Notamacropus eugenii: one gene and its partners. The protein of the gene in region 1 interacts with the protein of each later gene in a pairwise test. Links are inferred from orthologs where the notes say so. Each region holds a gene or a part of one and is shown in the gene's direction. Other genes may lie near its edges.

Evidence for each region.
Region 2: the proteins of NGLY1 (region 1) and RAD23B interact in binary tests that used the Homo sapiens proteins (3 or more experiments, as listed by UniProt). The two-hybrid records come from large-scale screens. The link is inferred for Notamacropus eugenii from reciprocal best matches to the Homo sapiens genes NGLY1 and RAD23B.
Region 3: the proteins of NGLY1 (region 1) and UBXN2B interact in binary tests that used the Homo sapiens proteins (3 or more experiments, as listed by UniProt). The two-hybrid records come from large-scale screens. The link is inferred for Notamacropus eugenii from reciprocal best matches to the Homo sapiens genes NGLY1 and UBXN2B.
Region 4: the proteins of NGLY1 (region 1) and GUCD1 interact in binary tests that used the Homo sapiens proteins (3 or more experiments, as listed by UniProt). The two-hybrid records come from large-scale screens. The link is inferred for Notamacropus eugenii from reciprocal best matches to the Homo sapiens genes NGLY1 and GUCD1.

The regions. Positions count from the first base shown.
Region 1 is NC_092874.1:28,791,433-28,798,894, forward strand, and holds the start of NGLY1 (peptide-N(4)-(N-acetyl-beta-glucosaminyl)asparagine amidase), read left to right. Parts: upstream 1-4,460; 5' UTR 4,461-4,495; coding exon 4,496-4,632; intron 4,633-5,411; exon of another isoform or gene 5,412-6,478; intron 6,479-7,462. UniProt on the Homo sapiens protein: Specifically deglycosylates the denatured form of N-linked glycoproteins in the cytoplasm and assists their proteasome-mediated degradation. Cleaves the beta-aspartyl-glucosamine (GlcNAc) of the glycan and the amide side chain of Asn, converting Asn to Asp.
Region 2 is NC_092872.1:21,550,777-21,558,114, reverse strand, and holds the start of RAD23B (UV excision repair protein RAD23 homolog B), read left to right. Parts: upstream 1-4,332; 5' UTR 4,333-4,691; coding exon 4,692-4,784; intron 4,785-5,249; exon of another isoform or gene 5,250-5,556; intron 5,557-7,338. UniProt on the Homo sapiens protein: Multiubiquitin chain receptor involved in modulation of proteasomal degradation. Binds to polyubiquitin chains.
Region 3 is NC_092875.1:276,950,852-276,958,283, forward strand, and holds the start of UBXN2B (UBX domain-containing protein 2B), read left to right. Parts: upstream 1-4,414; 5' UTR 4,415-4,975; coding exon 4,976-5,134; intron 5,135-7,432. UniProt on the Homo sapiens protein: Adapter protein required for Golgi and endoplasmic reticulum biogenesis. Involved in Golgi and endoplasmic reticulum maintenance during interphase and in their reassembly at the end of mitosis.
Region 4 is NC_092875.1:1,749,684-1,757,266, reverse strand, and holds the start of GUCD1 (protein GUCD1), read left to right. Parts: upstream 1-4,572; 5' UTR 4,573-4,751; coding exon 4,752-4,788; exon of another isoform or gene 4,789-4,812; intron 4,813-5,242; coding exon 5,243-5,327; intron 5,328-5,919; coding exon 5,920-6,088; intron 6,089-6,234; coding exon 6,235-6,326; intron 6,327-7,583. Other genes in the region: SNRPD3 (small nuclear ribonucleoprotein Sm D3), read right to left, coding at 630-691, 795-987, 3,498-3,623.

The DNA.
Region 1 (7,462 bases):
GTAACAAGGCACTCATTATCAGGGGAAGATACTGTGGATACAAAAATAAAGGTTTCTGTGCTAAAGAGTTGATGATATAAGAGGAAAGATGCGTTTACAGATAAGCATAATACATATGCAAGAAAGCCAAAAGTTCATCATTATGGGTACTCCCTCCATAGTGTTGACCTGAAAACTTGGTTAAAGAAAAGGCAACAGGCTAATTGCATACATTTTATGATTTAATTAATTAATCAATCAATTCCCTATTAAAGGTAACGGTAACATAATGCATTATGGAGCCAGAAATGTTCTGGCTACCCAGTGCAGAAATCTTCTGGCTTATATACATTATGCTGTGAGAAAGGAACTTTCCTAGTTGAACAAATCATAAATTTAGTAAGACAAGACAATTAACAAAGTAATGTTGGTCAGGCCTTGCAATTCCAGCTGGGTAAACATATGTCTCAGTGACGAGAAAGGAAATCCCACCACTAGTGAGTGGCAGGCTTCCTGCCCTAAACAGATAACTGACATAGGAAAAGGCTAAACAAAGTTCAATAGAAATTACGACCTAAGATGTCTATTTTTCTTTACCATTAATATGCCATAACATAGTATATGTCTATAGATAATAAGATACAAAGGAAAGCCTCATTATTCAAGATATAGTGTCTTAGGTTAAAGGTCTTCTTAAGGAGTGTAGAGTCGGCCTTGGCTGGCTTTTGCTGACATAGGAAGAGGCACTCTCTGAGTTTGCTTCAGAGAGAACAAAGAGATTATTCTAAAATTTTATATTAAACATTATCAATAGAAAGAGATCAAAACCCTTTCTGACCTTGAGAGATGGCTAATAGGAGTTACTGTGGACTAATAATTCATTGCTTGATGGCCAACCTTCTGGTGATGAACATCTCCAAATAAAGCTAGGCTGGGAGTCTGTTGTCTACTCATATTTAAAATCTTTCTGGCTCAGTAGTGTTGGCAGAGTCTTTGCAAGTTTACATTCTTTTCCATTTCATAGAGAGGTAAGAGTAAAAATTTAGTAGGTTCCAGTCTCTGACTAGAGAGATGCTTAGAATTATACACATGTAACAATGTCAATAGGGAAGTAAAGAGGTGGGAGAGTGGGGCAGAGCAACACAAAAACAGAATATTTATCATGTTAGGCCTATACTCAAGCTGAATGATATTCCTGACAGATTATGAGGAGATGTTGAAAGAAGGAAAAAGAATATGAAGTAGAAAGAAAGGTAGCGATCACTAAGTTTTGTGTGGTTTTGTGTTTTGTTTGGGGTTTGGTTGGTGGGGAAGGATTCAGAAATGTGAGCATGGAAGAACTCCCATTAGGGAAACTCCACCTATGAAACTCAGCAAATGTAACCCATAGTTTTGGAATTGCCTGGGGCACTAAGAGGTTAATTGATTTAGCCTTATTCACACCACTAGCATATGGCAGAGGCAAGATTTGAACCCAGCTTCCAGATTCCAACACCAGCTTAACCATTATCTGTGGTTCTTGGACCATATAATCACCCAAAAAAAGAGGTACAGGGATAGGATATAAAAAAGGTTCAAGGACAACACCTGAAGAGCACACACTGAGAAGTTTCCTGAATGTAATCAGAAATAATAAATCAATTTGTTAATCAATTTGTTAAGCCCAAGAAAATATTACAATGACATAAGAAGTAGGCAACTATATGTAAGACTAGGGATTTGCTGTGGAAATCATTTAATCAACAAGTGGCTACTGTGTGCCAGGCATTCTGCAAAGAGCTGAGGAAAAGAAGATCAAAAGGAAGTAGTCCCTGCCCTCCAGAAGCTTACAATCTTTCAGGGGAAATCACATGGACACAAAATAAATATAAAATATGTACATAGTCATTGGGGAAAGCACAGGGGTCAGAAAAGTCTTCATGGAGGAAGCCCTCTCTAGCTCAGCTTTGAAAGTAATTATGGATTCTAAGAAGTAGGAGTGAGGAAGGAATATAGCCCAGTAGGGGAGGAAGCAGCCTGCACAAAGGTGTGGAGACTGAAAATGGAATGTGATGTTTAGGAAACAGCAAATAAACCTGTTGGGTAGGACTGTAGAGTGTGTGAAAAGGAGAGCTGTGGGCCTGGAAGGATACTGTGAAATCACAGATTTAGAGCTAGAAAGGATTTTGGAGGCTATCTGCTTTTAGAGGTCATCAACATCATTTTACAGATGAAGTACAGAAAAGTTAAGTGACATGCTCCAATGTCTGAAGGAGGATTCAAACTCAGGTCTTCACGACTCCAAGTCTAGTGCCCTATCCCCAATTCACCTGGATGTCAAGTGGTGTAGATGGAGACTCTGAAGGACTTTGAATTATAGAGGTGCTGGTATTTTTTCTTATCAGCAATAGGGAGCCACTGGAGCTTTTCCCTTTTTTTTCTGACATGGTGCAACAGCTTTAGGAATGTCACTTTGTCAGTTCTGAGAAGGAAGGGCTGGAGAGGAGAGAGACTAGATGAGGAAGCTATTGCAATGATCAAGATGAAAGGTGAAAAGGGCTGAAACTAGGGCAACAGTTGAGTAAGTGCAGAGAAGATGCCAGAAGTTGGAGATGTTGTAAGACTTGGCCGCTAGCTGCCTATCAGAAATGGAACATGACTGAGGGTGTGAACCTGGGGGACTGGAAAGATGGTGGTGTTCTCGATACAAATAGGATGATTAGGAAGAGGGGTCAGCTCCAGGACAATAGAGGAAAATGGGTCATGTACAGGACACCCAGTACAGCTTGTTCAGGGATCAATTATAGATAGAGGACTGGAGCTCAGGGAAGAGATGATGGCCATTGTAGACGCAGAAGTTACCTGCATTGAGATGACAGGTGAACCCGTGCAAGCGATGAAAAGTTAGAGGGCATCGAGGACCCAGGACAGAGTTTGAGAGAGCAGGGCCTGAGTGGTGATCCAACAAAGGTGGTCGTGCTAATTCCTGGACTGGGAACATGGTAGTGATAAGGAGACTAAGGATTTGATTGTAGAGACGGAGTAAGGCAAAGTGGTAAATTCTAGAATTGATGTTTGCAAGGGAGGAAAAGGAAAGTGAGGGCAGAGCGGGGAGAAATGATGGGTACAATGAAGGTCAAAAATAGGTTTAGGAGGAGCAAACCATCCTAGGATAGGTTGGAGAAAGGACTTTCTGAATTCCTTACCATGGAATTGAATCAAATCAGGAAAAGTATAAGGGGTGTGTGTATGTGTACTCTCTCTCTATATTTAGACACACCATATGTACGTTCTGCATGGTTACGTAGACTGTTCCTAGATGTGGATCTGGAGAGAACCTCAGAAACTGTCCAGTTCAAACCCTTCCTTCGACAGAGGAGACTGAAGATCAGAAGGTTTCATATTTAATCAGTGACAGGGTCATTCACTCTTATGCCAGAACCAAGGATTTTTCACCAGTCATCAGAGGGTCATGTCTGTCATTTTCTGACCCGGGTTTTAAGACCGGGACTAGAGGCTTAGCAATGACTGCCTTACCAGGTCAGGGCTTCAAGGCGGAAGGGAGAAGAAACAGACAGTAAACTACAGGTCTAGCCATTAACCTCATCAGAGGCTTAAACCCAGCCGTGAAATGAGATGGAGCCCAAAGGGAATGCTCTCAGGGAGACGACACACACAGCAGGGCCTGGGGTGGGGGGCGCCGGCGGCCTGGGGGTTCAGGAAGGCCTTCTGTGGGAGCTGGTGCTGGAGCTGAGCCGACTCGAACGGGGGATGCCCCGGGGCAGAGAGGAGGGAGGGCATCGCAGACCGGGCCAGCCTGCGTGAAGGCAGAAAGGTCCAGCAAGGTCACCCGGGGCCGGAGGGGCCCAGCGCGGCGGAGGGGCCCAGCGCGGCGGAGGGGCCCAGCGCGGCCGGAGGGGCCCAGCGCGGCCGGAGGGGCCCAGCGCGGCCGAGGGGCCCAGCGCGGCCGGAGGGGCCCAGTGCGGCCGAACCGGGGCTGGGGGGGCGGAGCGGGGCATTAATGGGGTACCAGGAAGGCTGGAGTCTCCGTTGGGAAACATGTTAAACGCCACAGTTCGAGTTTGCTTCGGAGCCACCGGGGCTTCTGAGCCCCGCTCCTCTCGGGGATCCCAGCCCAGCTTTGGCGAGCCGGGGAACGATGCCCATGCTAAATGCTGGGCTGGCATCGCTGCCCGGGGACGGGCGAGGGGGCACTGAGGGGGTCCGGGCTCCCGAGGGGGAGGACGGGCTGTTAGGTGCGGGGCGCTGCAGAGGTCCGAGCTCTCCAGTCCGGGTCAGGCCCGCCTGCGGCCCCCCGGGAGCACCGTCCGAGGACGCGGCCCCAGGGGTCCTCGGGGTCCCCCCAGCCCCGGCCCGGGGCGGGTCAAGGACGCGCCCTCCCCCGCGGGGTGCCCGGCGCGCGTGGCCGCGGCCTGGCGGGCGGGGCGGGCGCCTGCTCAGTGCAGGGGGCGGGGGCCGGGGAGGGGGGAGGGGGAGGAGGCCGGGCCGAGCCGAGCCGAGCCGCAGCCGGAGCGGGATGGCCGCCGCCGCCGCCGCGCTCGGCCCCGCCGCGCCCGCCCTCTCCAGGGCCGTGTCCGAGCTGTGCCAGAACCCCCGAGAAACCTTCCTGGAGGCCTCCCGCCTGCTGCTCACCTACGCCGACAACATCCTGCGGTAGGACCCCCGCCCCGCCCCCGCCGCGGGGTCACGGCCGCACGTGGTCGCCGGGCCGGGCTGCGGGGGGCCAGCCGGGCGGGGGGGCGGGGTGACAGCGGCGCGCGCCCCCGGGGGCCCGGGAGGGGGAGGGGCAGGGGTCCGCGGTGCGGCGGAGCCGGGCCGGGACCGGGGAGGGGGAGAGGGGGAGGGGTCCTTGGTGCGGCGGCGCGCGCCCCCGGGGGCCCGGGAGGGGGGAGGGGGTCCTCGGCCCGGGGCCGGGGAGGGGGGGAGGGAGAGGGGGGGGGTCCTCGGCCCGGGGCCGGGGAGGGGGAGGGGGGAGGGGAAGGGGAGGGGTCCTCGGCCCGGGGCCGGGGAGAGGGGGAGGGGGGGGAGGGAGAGGGGGAGGGGGGGAGGGAGAGGGGGAGGGGTCCTCGGCCCGGGGCCGGGGAGGGGGGGGGGGGGAGGGAGAGGGGGGGGTCCTCGGCCCGGGGCTGGGGAGGGGGAGGGGGGAGGGGGAAGGGGAGGGGTCCTCGGCCCGGGGCCGGGGAGGGGGGGGGGGGGTCCTCGGCCCGGGGCCGGGGAGAGGGGGAGGGGGGGAGGGAGAGGGGGAGGGGTCCTCGGCCCGGGGCCGGGGAGGCGCCGCCTCTGCCTTAATGATGGGTGCCCGGGACACCCGGGAGACGCGGGGAGGCCGTGCGCGGAGGTCGGGCTGGGCGCACGTCCCCTGGCCCCCTCTTGTGCGTCTGCCCCCGGGCAGTGCCCCCCCCCCCACCCCGCCTTGGGCCCTCGGTTTGATAAACGCGCCCGATCCCTGCCGAGAGTGGGACAAGATTCAGAGTCACCGCTGCGGCTGCCCACCTCGGGGCCTTTGCCCCGGACGGTGTACGGTTACTTGGGCACCGCTGGCCGTGTAAGCCGGTGTGTGCGGGCCTGCCGGGTGCCAGAGGACATGCCACCCTCCCGTGCCCGCTGCGCCCCACCTGCCCAGGAGGCCCGGGGCCGCGGACAGTCACCCCCAGATCCCCTTTACCCCCGCCCCGAAGAACCGCGGACTGCTTGGTGCCCCTCCAGCCGTCTGGGCATGGAGCTGTTTGTAAACAACTTGGCAGCGTTATCCGGGACCCGGTTCTTGTCTCAGCCTTAAAATGAAACCAAAACGCTTAGAGCAGATACCCCTGATCAGTGAGATGTCTGCCTGGTACTACCCCTGGCTTTGGGGGGCGTTCTGAGGTGTGTAGGTATTGATCAGCACGTTCACTGAGGTTCTTCTGAGGCCTGTGCACAGGCATGAGTCCCAAGCTCCCCCCACCCCCCGCTGTGTGTGTCTGTCTGTGTGTCTAATCGAGAAAGGGGACAGGATTCGGGGTGCCTAGGGCAGGTGCAGGAAAAGCCTGGGAGTTGACATTTAACCTCAATTCTTTCACTTCCCCGACTAGCCCCAGCCTGCAGGTGCTGAGGGGCCCTTGGCCTCGGCCCAGGGCCCTCCTCAGGGGCTCTGACCCCTTTCTTCCAGGAGTGACCCAAGCAGAGTTACCTCTTGCATTTACAGAAAAGCCTCCAGATTGTTTTTATTTTTTTGTACCTTGCCTGGATGCCTCTGGCAGTATGACTGCACCGAGGACTCTCCCTCCTTACAGAGCTCTACAGACATTGAACTTCAAACTTCCAATACAAAGTGTGGACAGATCTTCACCTTTCTCCATTAGGATACTAACTCACAGATTTTTGTTTTGTGAACTGAAAATCCTAGAGTCAGGGAGAATTAACCACAAGATGCCACGGTGTCTGCAACATCGACAAACTGGTTCTGACCCATTTGTTTTACTTCATGATGAGTGACTAAAGCTTTACTAAAGACAAAATGGTAAATGACTTGCCAGAAATGAGTATCTTAGTAGATCGGGAAGTATTTCTGGACCACCCAAAGGAGAGCTTTGCACTCCGGTGCTTAATAAAGTTAAAAAATCACCATTTAAAAAAAGTTATAAGCCCTGCCGGACATCCTCTCTGTCAGCTGCCTTGCCCTTTTGGACTTTGGAAAGAGGAGCCTTCCATTACGTTTTCAGCTCTCACTCCATTTTCACTCAGATGCCCTCTGGCAACTGAACCAGCCAGCCACTGATTGTAGCTTTGTCAGAAGTTCAGTGATCTCTTAATTGCTTAATCCAGTGTCTCGTCTCAGTCTTCATCTACCTGCAGATTTTGATGCTGCAGATGCTTCCTCCTGGTTCTCTAGATGGGCCTTCTTTGTGTCCCTTGAGGGAAGAGAATCTTTCTGCCAGTGTTGTTCTCTGTCTCCACACCAAAGCTTGTGCATCCCCAAAGGCTGTCTCCTGAGCCTCTGATTCCCTCCCTTAGTGATCCAGCATATCTTGAAGTGTTTCCCCCCATTAGAATGTGAAATTGTTGAGGAGAGTGACTAGCTAGTATGCTTTCACTTGGAGCCTAGCACTTAGCCCATTGCCTGGCACATAAGAATAAGTACTCTAGCTATTTCAGCTGCTCTCACTGGTTCCTTGATCACTTCAAGTGACTCCCAAAGCTGTACAGAGATCACAGAGTATAGAATTGGAGATTTGGAAGCCACCACTGCCAAAGCTGTCTCGTCCAGCCCATACCTGAAGGGCATCCTCATTATTTCATGGACAGGTGCTTGTTCAGCCTCTGCCTAGAGAGCTTCCATGGAAACCTACTGCCCCTCGAGGCAGCCCTTTCCATTTTGGGGCCAGCTAACCTTGAAGATTTTCCTAATACCCAGCCTAAATTGGTGGTTTTGCAGTTTGCATTGGCATGGAGTTTGATACCTCTTCCATATAACAGCCTTCAGATACTTGAAGGCAGCTTTCAT
Region 2 (7,338 bases), on another chromosome or scaffold:
GTAGGAGATGGGCTCTTGGTAGGGGAGCGTGGGGCAGGAGGAAGGAGAGCTGCGATTCTTGGGTGTCTCAGCTTATTTGCATGTTAGTGGTGGGGTCGCTGGTGATGCATGGAATGTTTTGTTCCATGGTGGCTGCAGGAACAAGGCTAGAAGTGTAGGAAATGCTGTTATTCCTGGGATTTTGGGGTTCCAGATTCTGAGCTGCCTCTCCTTGGGTCTGAGAAGAGATGGTGTCATGGTAGTAGAAATGGTTTGACTCAGCTGTCACATGCTGCCTGCTCCCTCAGGGTGCTGTGCTGAAGAACTCCTGGCAAAAGCACTTTTACCATCAAATTTAGAATCAACTCTTGAATTTTACAAGTGAGGAAAGTGAGGCCCAGAAAGGTTAAGTCACACACAATGAGCAGTAGACCTGGGATCAAATCCAGGTCTTCTGACTACAAATTCAGTCCTCTTTTTATTGGGTTATATTGCCAACTCTGCCTTCACCAAGAGTCACTGTTAACATAGAGCATAGGAGGCAATCAGTCAATATTTTTTTTAAATGAATCCATCTATTCATTTGAGTAAAAGAATCTACCATGTATTTTATTAGAAAAATATTGTTTACAGAGACTTGGCACCTATCTAAAAATGCCAGAATTCTATAAGAATTCAAAATCACATTTATGTCTGATAGAATTATAAACTTCACAATTTTAGGGGGAGGGTTATGGATTAAGGGAAAAGTACAAACATTATATGAATAAGCTACCAGTTAAATCCTTGCTATCTCCAAACCGTGAAAAGCTGTTGGGTGTAAACTTAACAGCATAGCTGAGGGGACGGAGAGGCAGGAGGACCTGGCTTTGAATTCTAACTAGGATACTTACTCACCACAGGCAAAATCGCTTAACTTCCCCAAACCTTCCTTGCTCGTGGGGACAATACAACAGTTAGTATCAATCTCACAGGGCTACTGTAAGGCTCCACTGAAATAATGCACCTTAAGGTTTTACAAATGTTAAAGCTCTTCTAATCACTGAGCTAGATATTCCAGTATTAGCCAGTTTATGTATATGTAACCTTTGTATACTCATTCATCTGTCGTGTGTGTGTGCGCGCACGCGCAAAGCAAGCAGTCAGAAAAAAATAGCTCCCAATTTTTATTGGGACTGCAAAGATCATCTAGTGCAATCCACTCATTTTACATGAGTTTGTCCCTTGCAAACAACTGACTGTTCTGTGGACTTTTGTCCTTAGAAATAACTGGCTTGTTACCAAGTATTTTTAAACAGCAGAGCACTTCAATTTCTGCCTCTTGCCCTGATCAAACCACAAGAAAAGATTAAAGCCAAACATTCCATGAACACTGCTCAAAACTGCCATTAATTCTTGTTCTTAACAATATACCCCACAAGAGTACGTTGCCCTCCCCCCACCTCCCAGCTAGAAAGGACCTTGCTGTACCTTTCATTCCCCCTTTAATCCCTGATTTTATAACCCACAAAAGCTATTCCAAACTTTCTCTTTTTCCTTTAGCTTCCCATATTTTCTACTACCCCCACCTTCTTGGCTGAGAACTTTATCTCTCTTTACTGAGAAAATGAAGACCAATCCTCACAAATTCCCTTCTCTCTTCATCTCACAAGCCTTTACTTTCATCTTTTTTCCTTGAATCTGATCATGAAACAGTCTTCCTCTCAAGGCTAACGCTTTGGCTCCCTCAACCAACCCACTCCTCTGATCTTCAACCTCTCTTTCCTCTCCCTGTCCATTGGTTCCTTGACCACTGTCTTCAAATATACCCATCTTCACTATCCTTTAAAAAAAATCCTTCACTAGATTCTCAGATTATCTTAAATTATTGTCCTAAATCTCTCCTTCCATGTGCAGTCACACTCCTAGAAAAAGTCAGCACTTATTTCCTCCCTTCCTCTCATCTGACTCACTCCTTAAGCCTTTATAGTCTGACTTCTGAACTCCTCCCTCATCTCTCATAAAGTGTCAACAATCTCTTAATTACCAAGTCTGATGATTTCTTCTCAGTCTTTATCCATATACATGTGTACATATATGTACACACACATATATATGCACTGCATTTGAAATTGATTACTCTTTTCTCCTGAATACTCTATCCTTTTTGGGTTTCAAGGAATTATTCTCTTTCAGTTCTCCTACCTATCTGACCACTCCTTCAGTCTCCTTTGCCAGCTCATCATTCATATTACATCCCCTTACTGGCTGTATCCTGGGCTCATGTTTCTTCTCTTTCTCTACTCTCTCTTGTTGACCTGTATCAATCCCTATGGGTTTGATGATTTTTATGCAAATGAGGCACAGATCTATATGTCCAGTCCCAATCTCTCCCCTGAGCTTCCATTCCAAATTACCCACTAACTATTGCACATTACAAACTGCATGTCCAAGGGACATCTCAAACTTGATATGTCTAAAATACAACTCATTATCTTCTCTTAAAAAATCTTTTTATCCCTCTTCCAAAACTCCCATACTTCTATTAAAGGTACTCATTCTTCCAGTCTTCTAGGTTCCTAACCTCAGGGTTATCCACTCTCCTTCATCCCATATATTCATTTAATTGCTACATCTTATAATTCCACATCTAACACAACTCCTTTTCTCCACTCAAGACAGTCACCGTCCTAGATCAGGCCTGACTATTCTCTTGCCTGCCTATTGCAATAGCATCCTAATAGGTCTCTGTCACTCAGGTCTCTACCAATCCAAATCTGTCTTCCACAGAGCTACCAAAGTGATTTTTCTTAAGCACAGATCTGATCTTACTCAAACTTCAGTGGTTCTCTATAACCTGTAGGATCAAATATAAACTCCTCTGTTTGGCTTTTAAAGTACCGGCCCCAACCTATCTTTCTAGCATCATTACATACTACTTCCACTCTATACACAAAGCACTCCATTTCCCCTCTCCACACCTCTGTACCGGCTGTATCCCATTCCTAAAATATACCCCCTCCTCACCTCTGCCCCAAGGCAGAGATTAAAATCAAGCACCACCTTCAAAACCGAGCCTTTCCTTTGCTGGTGCCCTTCCTCTCTAAATAAACTGTATTTATATTCTGTACTTTTGCTGTGTATATATTTAATTAGGTAATGCTGTATCATGTTTAGCTACTTTACAAGTATTGTACATTTATGCCATATATATATTCTCACACGTATTTGACTCCCCCATTAGGATGTAAGTTCCTCTTAGAGTAGAGATTATTTTGTTCCTTTTTTAAACCTATATCCCCAAGTGCCTAACACCATGCCAGGCACATCGCATATTGCTTAACGCTTGTCCGAATAAAGCCTGTTTAGTTCTTTGTATTTTTATCTCCAGCACCCAGGACAGTTGCTGGCACGTAGTAGGTTCTTAATAAATGCTTGTGGATTGACTAATTCTCTAAATTGACCCCTCATTTTGGAGGTGAATTAACAAAAGCTGGAAGGGTAAGGGGGAATTCCTGATTAGTCCGAAAGTAACAAAGTAGCAACCAAACCGCGGCCCCACCTGGCTTTGCCATTAATAGCCACGCGATCTCGGTCAAGCCTCTGAACGCCCTCAGCCGCCTTCAATTTCCTCATTCGTAAAATGCTACAAGTTGTAACTGACACCACCTGTGTAACATTGTCAGCGCCAGGCTCCAGGGGAACACGCGGTCAACGCTTAAAATCCTGCGTAGCTCTAAGCATCTACCTTTTTTTTGTACGCAGTTGGTTCCCCTTTTTGTAGAAGTTGTCCGCACCTTCTCTCCGCCGGGACCTGAGCTTTTCTTTGTATTTGTGGCGCTTAAGCAGTACCCGGCACTCAGCCGGCGCTTAATGATTGCTGATGGATTTAATTTCGAAAGGCTCGTGTTGAGTTTCAGTAAAATGGAGGACTGCAGGGAGAGCCGAGGCTGTGGCAGTCTAGAGTGAACTTTAGCTCCCAACCCAAACCGTGGCCCTATTTCTTGTCTCCCACGCCCCAGTTCAGGACCGCCTGGCCTGCCACTCACACTGGGGAGATAAATGGTGCAGGCGCCCGGGGGAGGCCAAAGTGGCGATGCGAGCCACCAGGAGGAATCTGAAACTCCTTTACTATCCGGACTTCGGGCACCAGGATCCCCCCTCCCACCCGGACTCCACCATTTCGTACAGAAAGGCGGCGGGGCAGCGAAAAGCGCAAGCCGCTCACTCCGGACGCGGGCTGCCCCAGCACGAGGTGCCAGCCCGGCAGCCCGAATTCCAGCAGCCGCTCCTCCACCCCACCCCCATCCCCCAGCCTCGGAACCTGCGTGAACAGGGGCTACGTGCCGCGCGTGCGCACAACCCGCCCGCCTCCCCCTGCGCCTGCGCGCTTCCCGACACCCTCCTCTTGACCCCTCCCCCAACTTCTTCGGGAGGGGGAGGGGGGATGTCGAAGCGAGTCATGATGGTGGCGACCAGGCCCTGATGAACTAGCGGATTCACTCACTGCCTCCCAGACCCGCCCGCAGTGCTGAGGACGGACTCCCCACCGGCCCCGCGCCTCGGGGAGAAGGCGATCGCGGCCGATCACGCCGGGGGAAAGCGACAGCGGGAGCGGCGGCGGCCCAGGCCCGGGGGAGAGGCCGCCCCGCAGGGTGAATGTGACCAACCCCACCGGCCACCTCGACCTCCCTCCCAGCGGGCCCGAGAGGCCGACCGAGCCCACAGCAGCCATGGCGTCCGGGGGCGGCGGCGACACCATGCAGATCACTCTCAAGACCCTCCAGCAACAGACCTTCAAGATCGACATCAGCCCTGAGGAGACGGTACGGAGGGGAGGGCCGCGCGGGCGGGGGGAGGGGCGGGAGCGCGGGCCGCGAGGCGGGCCCCCTCCCCCACCCGCCCTGGGGCCCGGGGGGGCCGGGGGGACTCGAGGAGGGGGCGGTTGGGCGCCCCGGCCCCGGCCCGGCCCTGCGGGCGGCGCTGGACGCGCGGGAGAGCCCCACGAGAGCTTTAGGAGGGGCGGACGGGGGGCGCCAGCGCGGCTGCGCGGACCCGGGGACTCGGAGGGGCCGCGGGCGGGGGGCAGTGCGGCCGGAGCCTGGGGGGGGTGGGGGGGCCGAATCTGCGCGGGGGGCGGGGAGGGCGGGGAGGGGGAGGGGAGCCTCGGGAAGTGCCGAGCTTGGGGGTGGAGCCCGAGGCTGTGGGAGTCTGGGTGGGATTGGGGCGGAAGCCGCGGGAGGACCTGGCCCGTGGGAGGGCGGTCACGGAGGCTGGGGAACCTGTCTCACCGGGATCCGCAGTGGGGAGAGGATCTCCGCAGGTGTGCCTAGGCCAGGAACGCCCCCGAGTCCGGCGCCATGTGCCTGGTGGCACCAGGACCCCTGCTGAGCCAGCTGCCCAGCGGGCGAGGGGCAGAGCCTCGTGGGTCTCTCATGGAATAAAATGGCAGGGTTGGGAGAGACCAGACCAGACCCTTGGTGCCCTGGAGAGCTGCATTAAGTCTCATCCTCCCGTGTTAAAGTTTAGAACAAGCTACCGTAAGCGTTGCCCGCTTTAGTGCCCACCGCCGTGAGCTTCTGTGGCAGTTTGGGCGCTTGTGACAGCTAAGAGGGCTGAGGTCACTGCCAGGGTATTCCAAGTATGGGCCAGTCCTGAGAGCGCAGGTTTGCCAGTTAGGCTCTGCCATGGTCTGTGCCAGATGGGAAGCCTCCCGCCTGACGTCCAGGTGGAAGGGCCTTCTCCCTGTTTGATCTCGTGGCAGTTTGTGTTTGTTTCTGCTCCTTGATGGAAATTCCTTCATCCCCTAGTTTGCCTCTTATTTATATCTGTCCCCCTTAACATCTGGCAGACCACGAGCTTAATCAGTGACTCATGTTGATGTTAATGGCAGAAGTTATTTTTTCCTGAATGAAGAAAGGTGGCCATTTAATATGGACTTTTTACTGGACAGCCACCCTTCTTGGTCCAGGAGGAAGGACATGGAGTCTTGCTCTATATATTTATTAAAATCCCGTCCAAGTCCTTAGATCATTGCATGAGAAACCTAGTTTAGTTGTGTCTGACTCTTCTGTGACCCTGTTTGGGTTTTTCTTGCCTCATTTTTCAGATGAGTAAAATGAGGCAAATAGGGTTAGGTGGGTGACCCTGATAGTAAGCATCTGAGGCCAGATTTGAACTCAGGAAGACTAAACTTTGTGACTCCAGGCTGGCACCCTGTCCACTGCTCCGTTGACTGCCTCATATAAAAGTATAGTACAGGAATTCCTAACCTGGAATTGTGACATTTAATAGGATTTTTGAGTAGCAAATTCATGTTTAAAAATAACATTTTTACCTTAAAAACTTGTCTTACGTAGTAGCTAGGATACAGTGAACTGGGCCTGGAGCTGAGTTTAAATCAGACTTCAGAAACTTACTAGTTGTGTGAGCCTAGGCAGGTCGCTTAATGTCTGCCTGCTTCACTTGGTTCAGCTGTAAAATGGGAGGTCGGAGAGCACCTAGCTGGGAGTGTTGTGGTGAAGTTCAGAGGAGTTGGTTTTTGTAAAGTGCTTACCAGAGTGCTAGATACTTGATAAATACTTACTCCTTTCCCTGGTTCCCTCTTGGAATAATTACTGACTGCCTGTTAAGGAGTTGAGAATCACTTAAAATCTCCTTGAATTGTTTCTTTACTTTCCAACAGGTAGAAAAACAATTTCTGTGTGTGTTGTTGGTATGAACAAAATCAATTGAACAAATATTAAGTCCATTCTGTCTGTGGAGCTGGCGGTGAGAAAACTTGGATGTGATCTCTGGACTCAGAACTTTTACTTTAGTAGAGGGTGTATGAGAAAAGTTAAAGTCACTTGATAATATAAGTGAAGTGCCAAGTGCTTTTTGAAATAGGAGAGGGTGGTCATGTTTCATGGAGAGTGTAGGTGCTTGAAAGCAATGCTGTCAAATTCGGAAAGGGATCTCTGCAACTGCATATTGACTTAGAAAACCACAAATGAACATTATTTATGTTTTATTATATTTTTGAGTTCTGTTTTAGTTTGTTTTGAGTTTCTCTTCTTTATGAAAGGAAATCAGTTCTAGAGTTCACCATGCATATCTGTATAACAAAGAAATAGATTGGTTAATTTTAATAGTATATTTATTTACCCCCAAATTCCCTATATTTCCTTTACAATTACTTCAAACCCCATTCAGTATGCAGACTTCAGGCCTTCAAAACTTGGAGTGGATCTGAACCATATTAAAATACATTGGGAAATATTTAACAAAAGTAAAATACAATATAACATTAATTATGTCAATGTGTGGGGTTTTTTTAAGTCGGTATATGGCCAGTTGGGCTGCAGATCTCGTAAGGGCCAGTTTCTGTTTGAGTTAGAA
Region 3 (7,432 bases), on another chromosome or scaffold:
ATCTTTTCCTCTCTGACCAGTTATATTGGCTCTGATATAATTCAAAAGAGGAGTACCTCACACATGGTTTTGTTATTGGATATTGTATCACAGCATCTGGTATACTGTGATAACATGGATAATGCTGTAAACACCCTAAAGGAGAGTAAAAATCTTTAGTTTGTTATTTAATTACTTAAAAGAGCTTGATTTTTTAAAAAATATCCTTGCAAAACAGATTATGTTTGTTTTTTAGAAAGGTGACATTATTAAGTAATCCTAAGACTATTTCACTTTCATACTCATATCCCCAGGATCTAGTATAGTGATGGGCACACAGTAGGCTCTTAATAAATACTTACTGATAAATCCAAATCATAGATCTGGGAATGGAGGTAAAGGGTAATACTTTTGTTTCCTCATCAGTCACCATCCCCAAACCCGTAGAAAGTGAGGAAAAGTGCTGAAACATTACTGTTATACATCAGATAAGGGGCTTTTCCTACATTAAAAAGGAAAGTTGAAGAGTCGTCTTTGAGGATCACAGCCTTCCTAAGGTGACCTATGACCATAGGCACCTAGCTACTCCCCAAAAGATCAGATACATGATGCAGAACAAAAGAACCCCAACATTCCCCCCTTTCTCTCTACTTACTTAGGAAACTTCTGGGGCTGCCCCCCAAAAAAAATCCTTCCACAAACCTCATTAGAATAAGTTTTGCTTTTCCAGAATGCTACTCACTCATTTAGCGAGCTTGTAATAACAGCTAGTATTTAAATAGCATTTTGAGGTTTGAAAAGCCATTACAAACCTTATCTCATTTAAATTGGATGCCTTTATTTTACAGATGAGACAACTGAAGCTGAGAAGTTAGGGCATTTACCCAAGGTCATACAGCTTAGTAAGTGTCTAAAGGCAGGACTTTGACTTAAGTAGAACACTGATTCCAAGTCCAAATTCTATATATTGAGCTACCTAGCTTTTGCTGCTAAATGATGATTGCCTCTCCTGCACCTCTAAGAGCCCTCTGAATGCCAAAGTTAAATGAATGTCACCCCTGAGATGTTAAATAATAAGGACAAGGTCTCCAGCTAGTTGGGGAGATTTTATATGGAGCATAGAAAGGAAAACATAAACAAGATCACTAGATTGAGTCCCCTCACTTACATTCATTGATCCACCAAAGTATCACATTTATATAATACTTAAGATAGATTATCTTATTTGATATTTACAATAATGCTATGGCTAAATATATTATTATGTCCATTTTATAGACAGAAACTGTGTGGCCTTAGTCTAAATAGTATAATGGACAGAGAGATGGATTTGTAATCCAGACAAACCTGAAATCAAATCCTGCCTCTGATGCTGACTAGCTGTGTGATCCTGGGCAAGTCACTTTATATCTCTCAGACTTGTTTTCCTCATATGTCAAATAGTAATAACTAATCTTAAAGGGTTCTTGTGACAAACAATTCAGACACATGTAAAGTATTTTGCAGACAGAGATAAAGGAAAGATAAAGGGAAGGAAGAAGGAATGAAAGAATGAACAAAGGAAGGAAGAAAAAAGAAACTGCCCCTGTATTATTATTATTTTATTAATCTATCCCTCTTTGCATTACTGAAGTTTATTTGTGTTGGTGGTTAAATTGATTATTATTTCAGGTAAATCCCAATTCGAATGAGTCACATTAAGTACATACAGAAGTCACATAGTCAGTCCTAATCACAGGTGAGTAAGCTTTGCTTTCTGATACAACAGACAAACAGTACCAGTATACATTGAAAATGTTCTTTATTATCACATTCCTTTTATGTCTCTTTTAGGGTCTATTCTCAGGGGGGAGGACAGCTACCCAGACCCTCATCTGGCACCCAAACCTCCTTCCAAAGAAGCTCCCAAAGCAAAACCTCACCTCAGAGTATATATACACTTTTCTGAGGGCATATACTCCTGACTCAGTGCCTCATTAGCAATTAACAAAAGGTGTGGTCCTTCTGGAAAAACAAGACTCCCCTAATCTGAGGCCCATTGATGGGCAGGGAAGATCTTTCATTAACATAAATCTCATTAACATTACACCAAGCCAAAACTCATTATCACACCCCATTCAACACCCTCACCCCAAACCTCACAAAGTTCCCCATTTCTACTGATAGCCCAAATAGTCTCACAGGTAATCATGCTTAAAGCCTTAGAGTCACCTTTGAGTTTTCCTTCTTTCTCACTCTATACATCCATTAATTCATCAAAACCTGCCAATTCTATCTAGAGAGCTATTATGGTGTGAGTTACAACCTCCTTACCCTCAGTTTCCTCATAAGCAAAGTGGGAATGATAATGATACAGATAATGGTACAGAAATTCCTTTCACTGATGAAAATCAACAACTTTCTAATTTAGAGTCTCAGAGAATTTATTAGGCCATGCACAGAGTTAAGTAATTTAACCAGAATCATACAGCTAAAACATATTAGAGATAGACTTTGAAACACTTCTTTCTGACTCCAAGGCTAATTTTATGTACTATACCATGGTGCCTCTCTTATAAGGGTAACAGACATCTTGAAATTTTCAAAGGAAAAAATAAAAAGCAAAACAAAAAAGCTTTCAAAGCAGTCTATGTGTAATACATCTAAATACATTATTTCACTTAAGCCTCACAAAAACCTTGTGAAGAAAAAACTAAAGGGATTATTACTTCCATTTTACAGATGAGAAAAATGAGAAAAGTTAAGGGATTTATGCAGTCACACCAGTATCAGAAGTAGATTTTAAGCTGTCTCTCTTGACTCCAAATCCAGAATTTTTTTTATGATACCATTTTGCTTCTCTAATAATGATAACAAATATCTTACAGGGTTCTTATGGAGGCACAAATGAGCTATGCCTACTCTCTCAGTAATCTTATCAACTCCTATGGATTTAACTACCATCTCTAGGTAACTGACTTCCAGATATATGTTCAGTCCCAAGCTCTACCCCTAAGCTTCAGTCTCAATAAATGATTGCTTATTGGATGTTTCAAACTGTATGTCCATTCTTGTGAGCTCCTTGAGAGCAGGAACTTTTTCGGGATTGGGAGTTTGGGGGGGAAGGAGTACTGCTTTTCTTTGTATGCCCTGATGCTTAGGTAAAGTGCCTGGCACATAGTAGTCACTTAATAAATGCTTGTTGACTGACTAAATGGTACAAAATTGAATTCATTGCCTTTCCCCTTAAATTTTTTCCTTTAAGAGACTTCCCTATTTCTGTCAAAAGCATTTCCAGTTTTCCAGTCTCTTGGGTTCATAATGTCAACACCCCTTCATATACTTTTTTATTTCAGGCAAATTGGACTGCTTTCCACTCCCTTTGTCCTTTTTAAGTTCTTCTAACTCTAACTCATCATAACTCTTCATGCCTGGAAGAGACTCCTCCCCATCCTACTTCAACCCCATCCGTTTCAGTTGAAATCCCTTCCTTTAAGTTGTAGGTCAGGTGTTACCTTCTTCCTGAAGCCTTCCTAGATCCCTAAATTAAGTCTAGTCTGATAAGGCCTTTGATGAAAACAGATTGGCCAGGCTTATGACTCTTCGACTGTTCCCCTTAAGGCATGAATTACAGTCTCTTTTGGAGAAGGATGAACCAGATTCCAAAGAGATTTATGCCTCCGGGCAAACTATATTTAGACACTACCCTTGTGGATATATATAATCTTCATGGTTATGCAAGCAATTTATCTCTCCTCAAATCTCAGACTATTTCTGTACCACCACGCTACATCTTACTGTTATTTGTGTATTTATTTTTTTCCCCTCTACCCTTCTAAACTATAAGCTTTTTAATGGCAGGTAGTATGCCTTAATCTCTGTATCTTGTTGGAGCAGCTGGGTGGTGCAGTGGATAGAGTACCAGTGCATGAGTCAGAAGGACCTGAGTTCAAGTCTCACCTGTGTGACCTTGGGCGAGTCACTTAACTCCAATTGCCTCATCCTGGGTCATCTCCAGTCATCCTGATGAATATCTGGTCACTCAAAACAAAGTCAAGTGCAAGTCACGTCTTTATTTCTCTGATGGCATGGTCTTCTTTGGTAACAAAGGAGGAACACACACACAATTCAACTAGTACAGTGCCTTGCAGATAGAAAACATTTAAAAAAGAAAACATACTTGTTGATTAAAATTTTAAAATCAGTTTAATTAAAATTCAAAAAATGTAAACCCATTGAGAGTTGGGTTTCTTTGATTCTTTTTACTGGTACCTCCAGAGCCTAGTACAGTGTTTCGCACATCCATGTATCTAGACCTATCTCCTCAAAAATAATGTTTATGCTGGACAAAAATGATTGCTTTATTATTACCAGAAGCTAGAAACTATCTCTGGAATGGGTCCCTGCTTCCAGTATGGGAGCGTGTGCCTTGAAACCAGTTGAGGGGCTCTTTCTGTAATAGATATGTACGTATACACATATATATGTATATACACCCCACATACATACATCATGTATCTATAGCCGATTGCATTTTAACGTAATTGGCTACTTCTGTAACACAAATATTGCTCTGCGGAGTCCCTAGGCTTTACCCTACTGGTAAGTGTTACGGACCCTGCTCCAGAAGGTGAAAGCAGTTGTTACAGTATCAAACACCGAAGTCTGGACGTCCCGGCTCCTCGGCCCCTCTTAGCCGAGCTGGGCAGGAGCCCCGAGGGGGCGGGGCCCGGAGGCAGGTGGGGTGACGTCAGGGTTTGCGGGGTGTCCCCGCAGCCATCCTAGGAAGGAGCAAGCGTGTACTACGCTTCCCTCCCACCCACCCCGGGAAAAAGTAGGGAGCCGGAGCCCGACCCCGGGCCAGCTCCTCCAGCGCGGTGGAAGGGGAGGCGCGGCGGCGGGAGCAGGTGCGTCCTCGCCGGGTGGCGGCGGTTGCCCGGGTAACACGCTCCCCGGAAGTCCCCGGAGCCTCGAGGAGAGCGAGCCGGACCCGCGGCTGCACTGGTCCCAGCGGAAGATGGCGGAGGGCGGGGCAGCTCGCCCGGGCGAGGACCGGGAGGAGGAAACCGCGGCCACCCCGGCCTCGGCCCCGCCGACCCCGGGTGGGCATCGCCAGGAGAAGAGGCCTTCGGGGTCGCGGGCTGGGCCCAGGCCTCCCACCGCCCGCGATTTGCAGGTAGGGAAGGAAAGGAACGGCGGGGGCAGCCTGGGCGGAGCCGGGCCCAGCAGGGGGTCGGGGCCCGAGAGGAGGGGGGAGCGCTCCCGCCCATTCTCCGCACCTCCCCCACCAGCTGGTGCCCTGGGCGCCTCGTGCGGGAGGGGCTCGAGCTCTGAGGTCCCCAGCCCCGGGAGCCCCTCCCCGGCTCCCGCAGAAAAGAGGGCCCTGGTGGAGGAGTGGGCAACGGAGGAACGAGCGAGGGAGGCCGGGCCGGGGTCTCCGCTGGCTCCCCGAGCCTTTCCCGTGGTCACCGCGGGAAGGAGCCGCGTGTCTGGATGCACGAGGGTCAGTGGAAGTTAAAACTTGGTGGAGATTCGCTCCCGGACCTTATGGCCCTTCCCCTTCCTCCTCCTCCACTCCCAGCCTGTTTTCTCTCTGTCGAAACCCTGTTAGCACTCCTCTTTTGCAACGTCCGGGCTCTCTGGTGTTGTACACATCTTACCAGAAGAAAGCCATCGTGTAAAAGACGTTCACCCAGAAGCATGGCTACTTAAAAGAAATTCTCGTTTCCCTGCAGCCCTGGACTGTTTTAAAGAGCACAGATTTTAATAAATGTTTTATCTAGGAAAAGATAGCCTTTTGTTTCTTCCATCTTAATAGTGGTGGTTGTGACTTAACCCCTTTTCCTCGAGAGGCTGTTGAGTGGGTAGCCTGATCAATCAGCAAACATTTATTAAGTGTCCGCAGTGTGGCAGGCAGTGCTGGGGATACAAAATGTCTAAAGAGGGTTCCTGCGCTCAAAGAACTCACAACGTAGTGGAAGAGACGAACAAATACGGACGAACAAGCTATATGTAGGAAAAATAGAAAATAATTAAAAGAAGGAAGGCATTAGAATTCAGAAGGGTTGGAAAAGGCTTCCTGTAGAAGAAGATGAGACCCAAAGGAAGCCAGGAAAGGCAGTAGGCAGAAAAGTAGTGGACAGAGGTGGTAACTTTTGGTCAGGAAGATCTGAGTTCAAAGCTCACACTACTGAAATTCATTAGCTCAGTGACAGTCTTTGAGCCTCTATAGATCTTTTCACTATGCTGATAAATTTAGAAACGAAGTGAAAATATAAACAGTTGAAAAAAACATGGTTGTGCTGGAAAACATCCGAGAGAGAGAAACAATTTGATATAATAGATTGTTACATATACATGCCGTGTCCAGGAAAGCTCACACTCTAGTAAATTTCAATGCTTTACCTGCTGTGCCAGGCAAATACTAGTAAACACATGGGTATGTTTTCCATCCTTGAAAATCTGTATCATAGGAAAGAACATTCAGTCAAGGTCACTAAGCCATTTTAGAAATAGCTACAGTTTTTAAGTAAAAAAAAGGTTTAATTGATCTCATTAATATATATAATATGCATGTTTTCAACTCATCCAGCCCTTCTCGTCCCATGCAATTCTAATTACATCCTGTCATAAACCTGTCTTAGAGCATCTATCCAACTCATTGAAGATTCACAGTTATTGCCTGCCTTCACTATGATTGTCACACTTACTTTGCAAATAATACATTTCTTACAATCCCTGAATGATATCTTTTACACCATTCCTTGTGTAATTTTACATTCCTTTGCTTAATTAAAAATATTTTATTGATGCATTTCATGTTTTTTACACCACAAGCACTCCTCAAATAACCTTTTCTCCTCCATAATACTTTATTAAAAAATTAAGCATAACTGATTTAGCAACCAGGCCTCACATCATAAAGAGAATGTAGTATTCTGTACACATAGTCTACCAACTCCAAGAAAGAGGATCTTCCAACATCAGTTCTCAGTGAATAATGTTTGTTGCAGTATCTAGTCTGAATTACATTGTCTTCATTTACATTATGATTGTTCCTTTTACATTATATTCTCCTTGCATTATAATCATTTCTTTGTTCTGTATCTGTTCTTTGAAGTTTTCCCCGGTTTCTCTGAATTCCTCATATTCATTCTTTACAGCTCAGTAATATTTTAATAGTATTCAAATACGACAGTACATCCAGCTGTTCTTTCCATTGCCCTTTGGGCCACTCACAATTTTGATTCTTTGAAATTTATGATATTCTATGATTTATAGCTATATAGCATAGTATCAAACTAGAGTTTAGTAACTATTCTATTAGAGAATATCCTTTTTTAAAAATTTATTTTTGTGTCAAGAAACAGTTTTTCATTAAGGATACTGTATAATTTCCCAGAGGCATTCTTTTCTTCCTTCCATTGTATGGAAGATTGATTAGAGTAGGGAGACCCTTGAGTCAGATAAATTA
Region 4 (7,583 bases), on another chromosome or scaffold:
AAGCATCAAGTCACAGGTCTGCAAGAACTCCACAGCCTTCTCTGGTTTGTCTGTGAGCCCACTGGGACCAGGGTAGGGCTGCTCGGAGGCTGGCTCAGTGGCCTCAGGCAGAATTGGTTAGATGCCTAGATACCTTCTGGGAGCTGGACTAGGCACCAGACAGAGCGGGGAGCTGGGGCTGGTCTAACAGCCAAGGAAGTGCTGGGGGAGGGGGGGTGACCCCCTCTGCCACACCCCCTCCCCCTCATCTCCCATTCATCCATCCACAAAGTTGCCAATGGGACTTTCCTGAAGTTTGGGTCTATCACCTCTCCAGCCCCCGCAGCCCCCCAGCAGGGTCCCCACAGCCCGGGAGCTGGCCTGCGCACTCCCTTTATGCAAGCACAGCACTCCATCTGTCCGCCTCCAAGGGTTGGCTGAGGGGGCCATGGTGGAGAGGCACCCCCCGTACCTCCCTTGGCCCGGGTCTCCCCAGAAGCACCGCAGGGGCTCAAGTACTCCAAGACACTTTTTATTTGGCTGGCGAGCCTCCTGCCCCTCCCTCACCTAAAAAGAGGGAGTGGACACGCCCAAACACTGAGCCCCAAGCTCTCAAACCAAACAAGTGCAGAGTTCTCTTCCGGGGGAGATTATCTTCGTTTCTGGAATATGTTGCCCCGGCCCATTCCGCGTCCTCTTCCTCTGGCAGCCACTAGATGGGGAAGAAGACAGCAGAGTAAGTGGGGCCGGCAGGGGAGTGGCTGGGCCTCTGCTCCCCTCCCACCTCAGGCCCAGGCTGCAGGCTGCCTACTCACCCTGGGCCTTCAGAATGGCCGCTTTCCCTCGGCCAGCCCCGGAACCTTGGTTTTTGTTCTTCATGCTTTTCAACATCGGGGCATTCTTCAGCATGTCTGGCAAGATCAGGAAGCGGATTTTGCTCCCTCGGATGTAAACCTGCTCCAGTTGGGCGACCCGTCCATCTCTGTATGTGACTGTGATGTTGGACATCTGTGAGGGAAACCAGTAGTCGGTCAGCATCCCTGCCTCTGCCTCTGAGGGTAGGGACTGGACCTCCACCCCCTACAGAGCAATGGCTGCGGGAGAGAGGCTGACCACAGACTAAGCAAGACAGGCAAGAGGCACAGTGAGGGCAAAGGCACGGAGATGGGAGGTGGGAGATGTGATCCAGAGTGGCTGGATCCCAGAGAGGGGCCAGATTATAAAGGGAGGCAAATCCAAACAAAGTCTTTTTAATCCCAGAGGCAACAAGGAGCCCTCTGGTGGGGGGGATGCTGAGGAGAGGAGTGATCAAGTCAGATCTGTGCTTTCTGAAGACAAAGCACAGGCAGGGGCACCCACCAGCAGGCCGCTAGCACAGAACAGGTAGCAAGAATAGCAGAGACACAGCTAAAGGAAAAACAGGCCTTGGCAGCAGACTGGAGCCAGAGCGGGGATGGAGGTGAGGGTGGCGGGATGATGCTGTCCTCCATGGCTATAGGGGAAGAAGCGGGGAGGAGGACTCGGGGGATGCCTATGAGGCATGACATCCAACTGGAATGAAGCACGGCTAACTGGCGATGGGGACAGAGAGGTCAGAGCTGGAGAAGTGTTCACACTGAGAATGGAAGTCACAGGGGCGGAGCTGGAGGCGATGCCCCTTCCACCTCTGAGTCTCTGCCATGCCAGACATGCCATGCCCCTGGCACACCTCCCAGGAGGCCCTGGGCTCCCTATTCCCTCGCACCCCTTCAGATCCAACATGGTGCTAAAGCCCAACCATTTCACCTTGGTGGCACCCTGCTCCACACCTGGATGGATGGCCTGCCTCAGTCTCCTCTCCAGGACATCATTCAGCCAGCGCAGGTCTGAGCATATCACCCCCACCCTCCTCCTCTATAACCTTCAGGATCAAGCACAAAATGCTGCCTGGCCTTCAAAGCCTTTATAATTAGACGTCTCCTGCCTTTCTTGGTACCTTACACTTTCTCTGCTCCAGGTCACAACATTCCATTTCCCACCTCCGTGCCTTTGAATTCAATGGCTGCCTCATGCCTACAACACCCTCTCTTCTCCCATCTCTGGGAGTTGAATCCCACCTTGTCCAAGAAGCCTAGGTTGGTTCTGGTTCCCCCATCATCCAGAGCTGCTTACCTGTTGTCTCATCCCTCAGACTGGGAGCTCCCCAGGGGAGGGGCAGGGTCTGCCCTTTTCTCCCCAGCACTGATTTTGCCTGGAGTGCGGCACAGAAATGCTTACTGAGTGCCTGCCTGCCCACCAGCTCTCCCTTCCACTTCTATCCCCAAGACAGCTGGCTCTGAGCTCGGCTGTCCAGCCTCCACACCTGCCAGCACGGGCCATCCAGCCCCGTCCCTGCAACCTCAGGGCAGCCTTCCCATGAGGCTTCTCTCCAGCCTCTATGACCTCCTTCTCTGGGAAGCCTTCCCTGCATCCTCCCACTGGGAGGCCTCAGACGCCGGGTGGGTGACCCTGGGCAATGGCCAGGCTCCTCAACCATAGACTGGGATCCTAACAGAGCCTGCCCCAGGCCTGTCTGGACCTCAAAGGAGACAATTAACACCTGCCACAAAATGAATGTCATTAGTTGTTACTGTCATTACTACCAGCGGGGAAACCGCCAAGGCTGCCAGCCTGGCACCTGGCCTGACTCCTATGTCTGTGCTGCCCAGCCCCTCTGGTTCCTGCAGCCTAGGCCGGGCTGCTGACCACACGTGACCTGGGGTGGGTAGGGTCTCTCCCCTCCATGTCCAGCAGCCAGCCTCGGTGCCCACCTGCCCCCCATGTCTGTGCTGCCCGGCCCCTGCACCCTAAGCCGGGCTGCTGACCACACGTGACCTGGGGTGGGTAGGGGCCCTCCCCTCCGTGCCCAGCGGGCTGCCTCCACCTGCCCCCCATGTCTGCGCTGCCCGACCCCTCTGTGCCCAGCGGCCAGCCTCGGTGCCTGCCTGACCTCCATGTCTGCGCTGCCTGGCCCCTCCGTGCCCAGCGGCCAGCCTCGGTGCCCGCCTGCCCCCCATGTCTGCACCATCCGGCCCCTCCGTGCCCAGCGGCCAGCCTCGGTGCCCGCCTGCCCCCCATGTCTGCACCATCCGGCCCCTCCGTGCCCAGCGGCCAGCCTCGGTGCCCGCCTGCCCCCCATGTCTGCACCATCCGGCCCCTCCGTGCCCAGCAGCCAGGCTCGGTGCCCGCCTGACCTCCATGTCTGCGCTGCCCGGCCCCTCCGTGCCCAGCGGCCAGCCTCGGTGCCCGCCTGACCCCCATGTCTGCGCTGCCCCGCTCCTCCGTGCCCAGCGGCCAGCCTCGGTGCCCGCCTGCCCCGTATGTCTGCGCTGCCTGGCCCCTCCATGCCCAGCGGCCAGCCTCGGTGCCCGCCTGCCCCGCATGTCTGCGCTGCCTGGCCCCTCCATGCCCAGCGGCCAGCCTCAGTGCCCGCCTGCCCCCCATATCTGCGCTGCCCCGCCCCTCCGTGCCCAGCCGCCGCGCTCGGCGCCACGCCGTACCTGGCAGTTCATGTTGTCCTCCGCCTCGATCAGCTTGCCCCGGTACACCTCCCCGGTGTTGGTCTCGCAGGTGACGATGTGCCCCTCCGCCTCATGCAGGACCTTGATGGGCACACCGATCGACATTCTGGCGACAGCGAGAACCTGCGGGGCCCAGCGGGACACGTGAGGCACTGGAGCCCAGCCCCCCAGGACCCAACCGGGCAGCGACAGCCCGGAAACCCTGCGCCAGGCCCGGGTCCGAGTGAAGGAGAAGACAATGGGGGTCCTCCTCCTACCCTGGGGAGGAACAAGCATTTAGGCGGCACCTACTGAATGTCCGGCGCTGCACCGAGTAAGCGCCTCGCAGATGGGGGGCGCTGTTATTAGAGCTCGGCACGCAGCTGGGAGGTGTACTTGGGGGGAGGGGCTCCGGGTGCAGGAAGGCCTGGGGGGGGCACTGAGGCAGGCTGCCGCCCCGCCGCTGGTGTCCAGGTGGGGGGGACAAATTCCGAATCAGGGCTGGGGGAAACAGGGAGTGGGGATGGGGCTCCGCCCCCAGCCTGGAGACCCCCCCCTGCGCCCTCCTTCCCGGGGCCCAGGGCATCCCTGGAGGAGGCTGAGGGAGGCCCTGCCAGAGAAAGGCGCGGGGGCGGGAGGCATGGCCTTGAACGCCGAGCCAGAGCCCCTCGCCCACGCGCTACTCTCCCCCCGTTCCCGCCCCCCCCCCCGGTTCCCATTCCCCCCGCCCCGGGTCGCGCGGACCCCTCGGCCCAGGCCTCACCTGCAGCCCCCGCCCCGGCTCCGGTTCCGGCGGCGCGAACGTGCGACAAACAGCGGCAACTGAATGGCGGGTCTCGCGGTCCCAGCATGCACCGGGCCCGGAAGCGGGGTGGGCACTTCCGGGGATCGCTCCGCCCCTAGACAGCCCGGTGGGAGCGGGAGAAGAGACTCTAGAGGCTTACAGGGGCGGGGCCTGAGGGCGGGGCCCATGGCGCGTGCTCGAGAAAGGGGCGGGAAATGGAGGATGGGGGCGTGGCCTGGGTTCGGCCTCTGCGCCTTGCGTGCCGCGTCGGTGGCGCGCTGTGCGTGCGCTAGCGCATGCGCCGTGAGAGATTTCGCGTCCTCCCGGGAGCGGCCGTGGCGGCGGTGGGGCCGGAGAGGGGTTGAGGAACCGAGGCGGGGGCCGAGATCCCGGGCAGAAGCGGATCGGGCCGGGGCCATGGCCAAGGCGCCTCCACAGCCCGAGCCCCGGCCCGTCCGCCCGCAGGCGGCATGAGGGAAGAGGCCGAGGGAGCCGGGGCCGAGCCCGGTGAGGGCAGCCGGGGAGTCTGAGGCACGGGCAGGGGGAAAGGGAAGGGTTATGGAGTCAGCCCGTTCTGACAGCTGGGGAGGCTGAGGCACGGCCCAGGGAGTCCGCTTACGGGGTCCTAGATCGGTCTCCCAGCGGGGGATACTGAGGCACGGCCCAGGGGTCCATGTACGGGGTCCTAGCCCGCCCTGACCAAGACTGAGGGGCACGGAATTAGCATCTCCTGGATGCCCAGCCTGGGACTCTGCGGGAGATCCGGAGGCCAAAGGCCCGGGTCCCCTAGGGCGGAGGAGCCCCAGGACTGGCCAGGGCGGGGACGGAATTTGAACTTCGGCCGGGGCGAAGGCTCCCAGGGCGGAGCCAGCACATTGGGAGGGGCGGGGCGGGGTCACTGCTGGACCATGGGGGGAGGGCCCCAACCCCGCCCTCCTCCGATGCTAGTCCTCTGTCCCAGGCGACTTCGTGCAACTGAAGGTGCCCATCGTGCAGCAGCTGTACCACTGGGACTGCGGGCTGGCCTGCTCCAGGATGGTGCTCAGGTGAGGCGGGGCCCGGGCTGGTGACCCCTCCTCTGACCTCCGGGATTGGCCGCTGGCCCACCCGGCACGTCCCTGTCCCCGCCCCTTCCGCGCTTGGGGTTTGGGAGGTGCACCACTCGGGCCCGCCCCAGTCCCTCCCTCAACTCGGTGATTGGTCGGTGTTCCCTTCGGCCCCTCCCCTGTCCTTTCAGAGCTCGGTAATTGACCCCCTGCGGGTCCCTGTCTTCTGTCTCTTTCCCCGCTCCCGTAGTTCGGGGATTAGTCGGCCCCACTCGGCCCCGCCCCAGTACTGTGATTGGCCGGTGACCCACCCGCGCCTCCATCTCTTTCCTCCCCCCTCAGGCCCCGCCTTCCCCCGCTCCCTGAGCTCGGTGATTGGCCGATGGTCCACCGTGCCCCGCCCTCAGCTCAGTGATTGGCCGATGCCTCCCCTCTGCTCCTTCCCCAGCCTTCCCTCAGAGCTCGGTAATTGCCTGGCGTCTTCTCCCTTCCCCCGCTCGGGGATTGGCTGCTACCCTGCCCGGGCCCGCCCCAGTCCCTCCCTCAGCTCGATGATTGGCCAGTGGCCCACCCGCGCACTCCCCCGCCCCAGGTACCTGAAGCTCCTGGAGGACGACGCTGCCTTCGAGCAGGCGCTGCAGGAGCTGCAGCTCACCCGGAGCATCTGGACCATCGACCTGGCCTACCTGATGCGCCACTTCGGGGCGCGCCACCGGTTCTGCACGCGGACGCTGGGCGTGGACAAGGGCTACCGGAACCAGGTGTGGGGGAGCCCCGCTGTCCCGGCTGGGAAGGGGGCCTGTGCAGGGGGGAGAGGGGGATCCCAGGCTGGCGCTGTTACCCTCCCTGCCCGGGCCGTGCCTAGGTCAGTGGCCACCGCGGCCTAAACGCCGTCTTCTCCGCTCAGTCCTTCTACAGGAGACACTTCGACGCCGAGGAGAGCCGGGTCAACCAGCTGTTCGCCCGGGCCTCGTCCTGCAAGGTGTTGGTGGAGAAGTGGTGAGACCCCTCCCCTGCCCCCGGGCACCCCTGAGTCTGATCCCTGCCAGGGCCCAGAGAGAGGGTGGCGGCTGGGCTTCAGGTCCTGCTGCGTGCGCTCCTTGACAGTGTCCATGCTCTCCCTGCTCTAACTCCCGTGGTTGGAAAGTGTTTATCCAAGAGTAGCCTTGATGCTGATTTTACACATGGGGAAACTGAGGCTTAGCGAGGCCACGCAGGTAGTAAGGGACAGGCTCAGCTCACAGCCTCAGCCCACCCTCCTGGGCACCTCAGCACACATGTGGCAAAGCTGGCACTGCCGACAGCCCCCATCTCCCACGGACAGCTCTGGTGCCATTCCGCCCTATCTTCCCAGCTCAGCCTTGAGAGCTCTGCCCTGAGCCCTCCGTGGATCCGCAGCTCAAGGCCCTTCTCACCCCAGCTTGCCCAGACCTGACCCCGAGGCCCCAGCTGAGTCCCACCCCGAGTACCTGATGCCCCCAGGGCACTGCTGCTCCCAGGAACCTCACTGGTATCATAGTAGTTGTTCTTGGATCTCTTCTCTGCCCCAGTCTTCCCCAGACCTATTACCTTCCTCGTTTCTCATAGCTCAGTACTGCTCCATCATAGCTACAGCCCAGATTGACCAGACATTTCCTGGTTGATGGGCCTTGCCTCAGTTTCCAATTCTCTGCTCCCACAGGAAGAGCTATTATTGATATTTCTCCTCTTGCTTTGGTCTCCTTGGGGTAGATATCTAGGAGTGATACCAGTGTTTCCTGCCTCTAGATTCTTCCAACCCCTCCCACATGGCTCATCTTTGGTCAGCTTTGCCCATCTGATGGGGCTGAGACAGATCCTTGGCGCTGGCTGGTTGGCATTTCTCCAATAAGCAGAGATTCAGAGTCTTTCTTCACATGGCTCTTAATGACTTAGATTCTTCTATTGAAAAGTGACCATTTATCGATTGGAGAAGGGTTCTCAATGCTCCCTATGTCATCTTAGAAATGACACTTTATCAGAGAAACTCACTGGGAAGGTTTCCCTTCATCTTGCTGCTTGTCTTTTGGGCCCTTTGGGTCACTGAGCCTTGTCTGCCCACCGGGCAACCTCTGTGGCAGAGCTAGCCCTTCCAGGACCCTCCCTCCCTCCCTTGTTCTCTGTCACTGCCATTGTCATGACCATGACTTTTGTCCTCATTCCGCCAGACCCTGTTAAGGCCATCCTTGGAGCTCAAATCCCTTCCTGGCTGTCAGGAGCCTCTGAGGTCACGGGGGA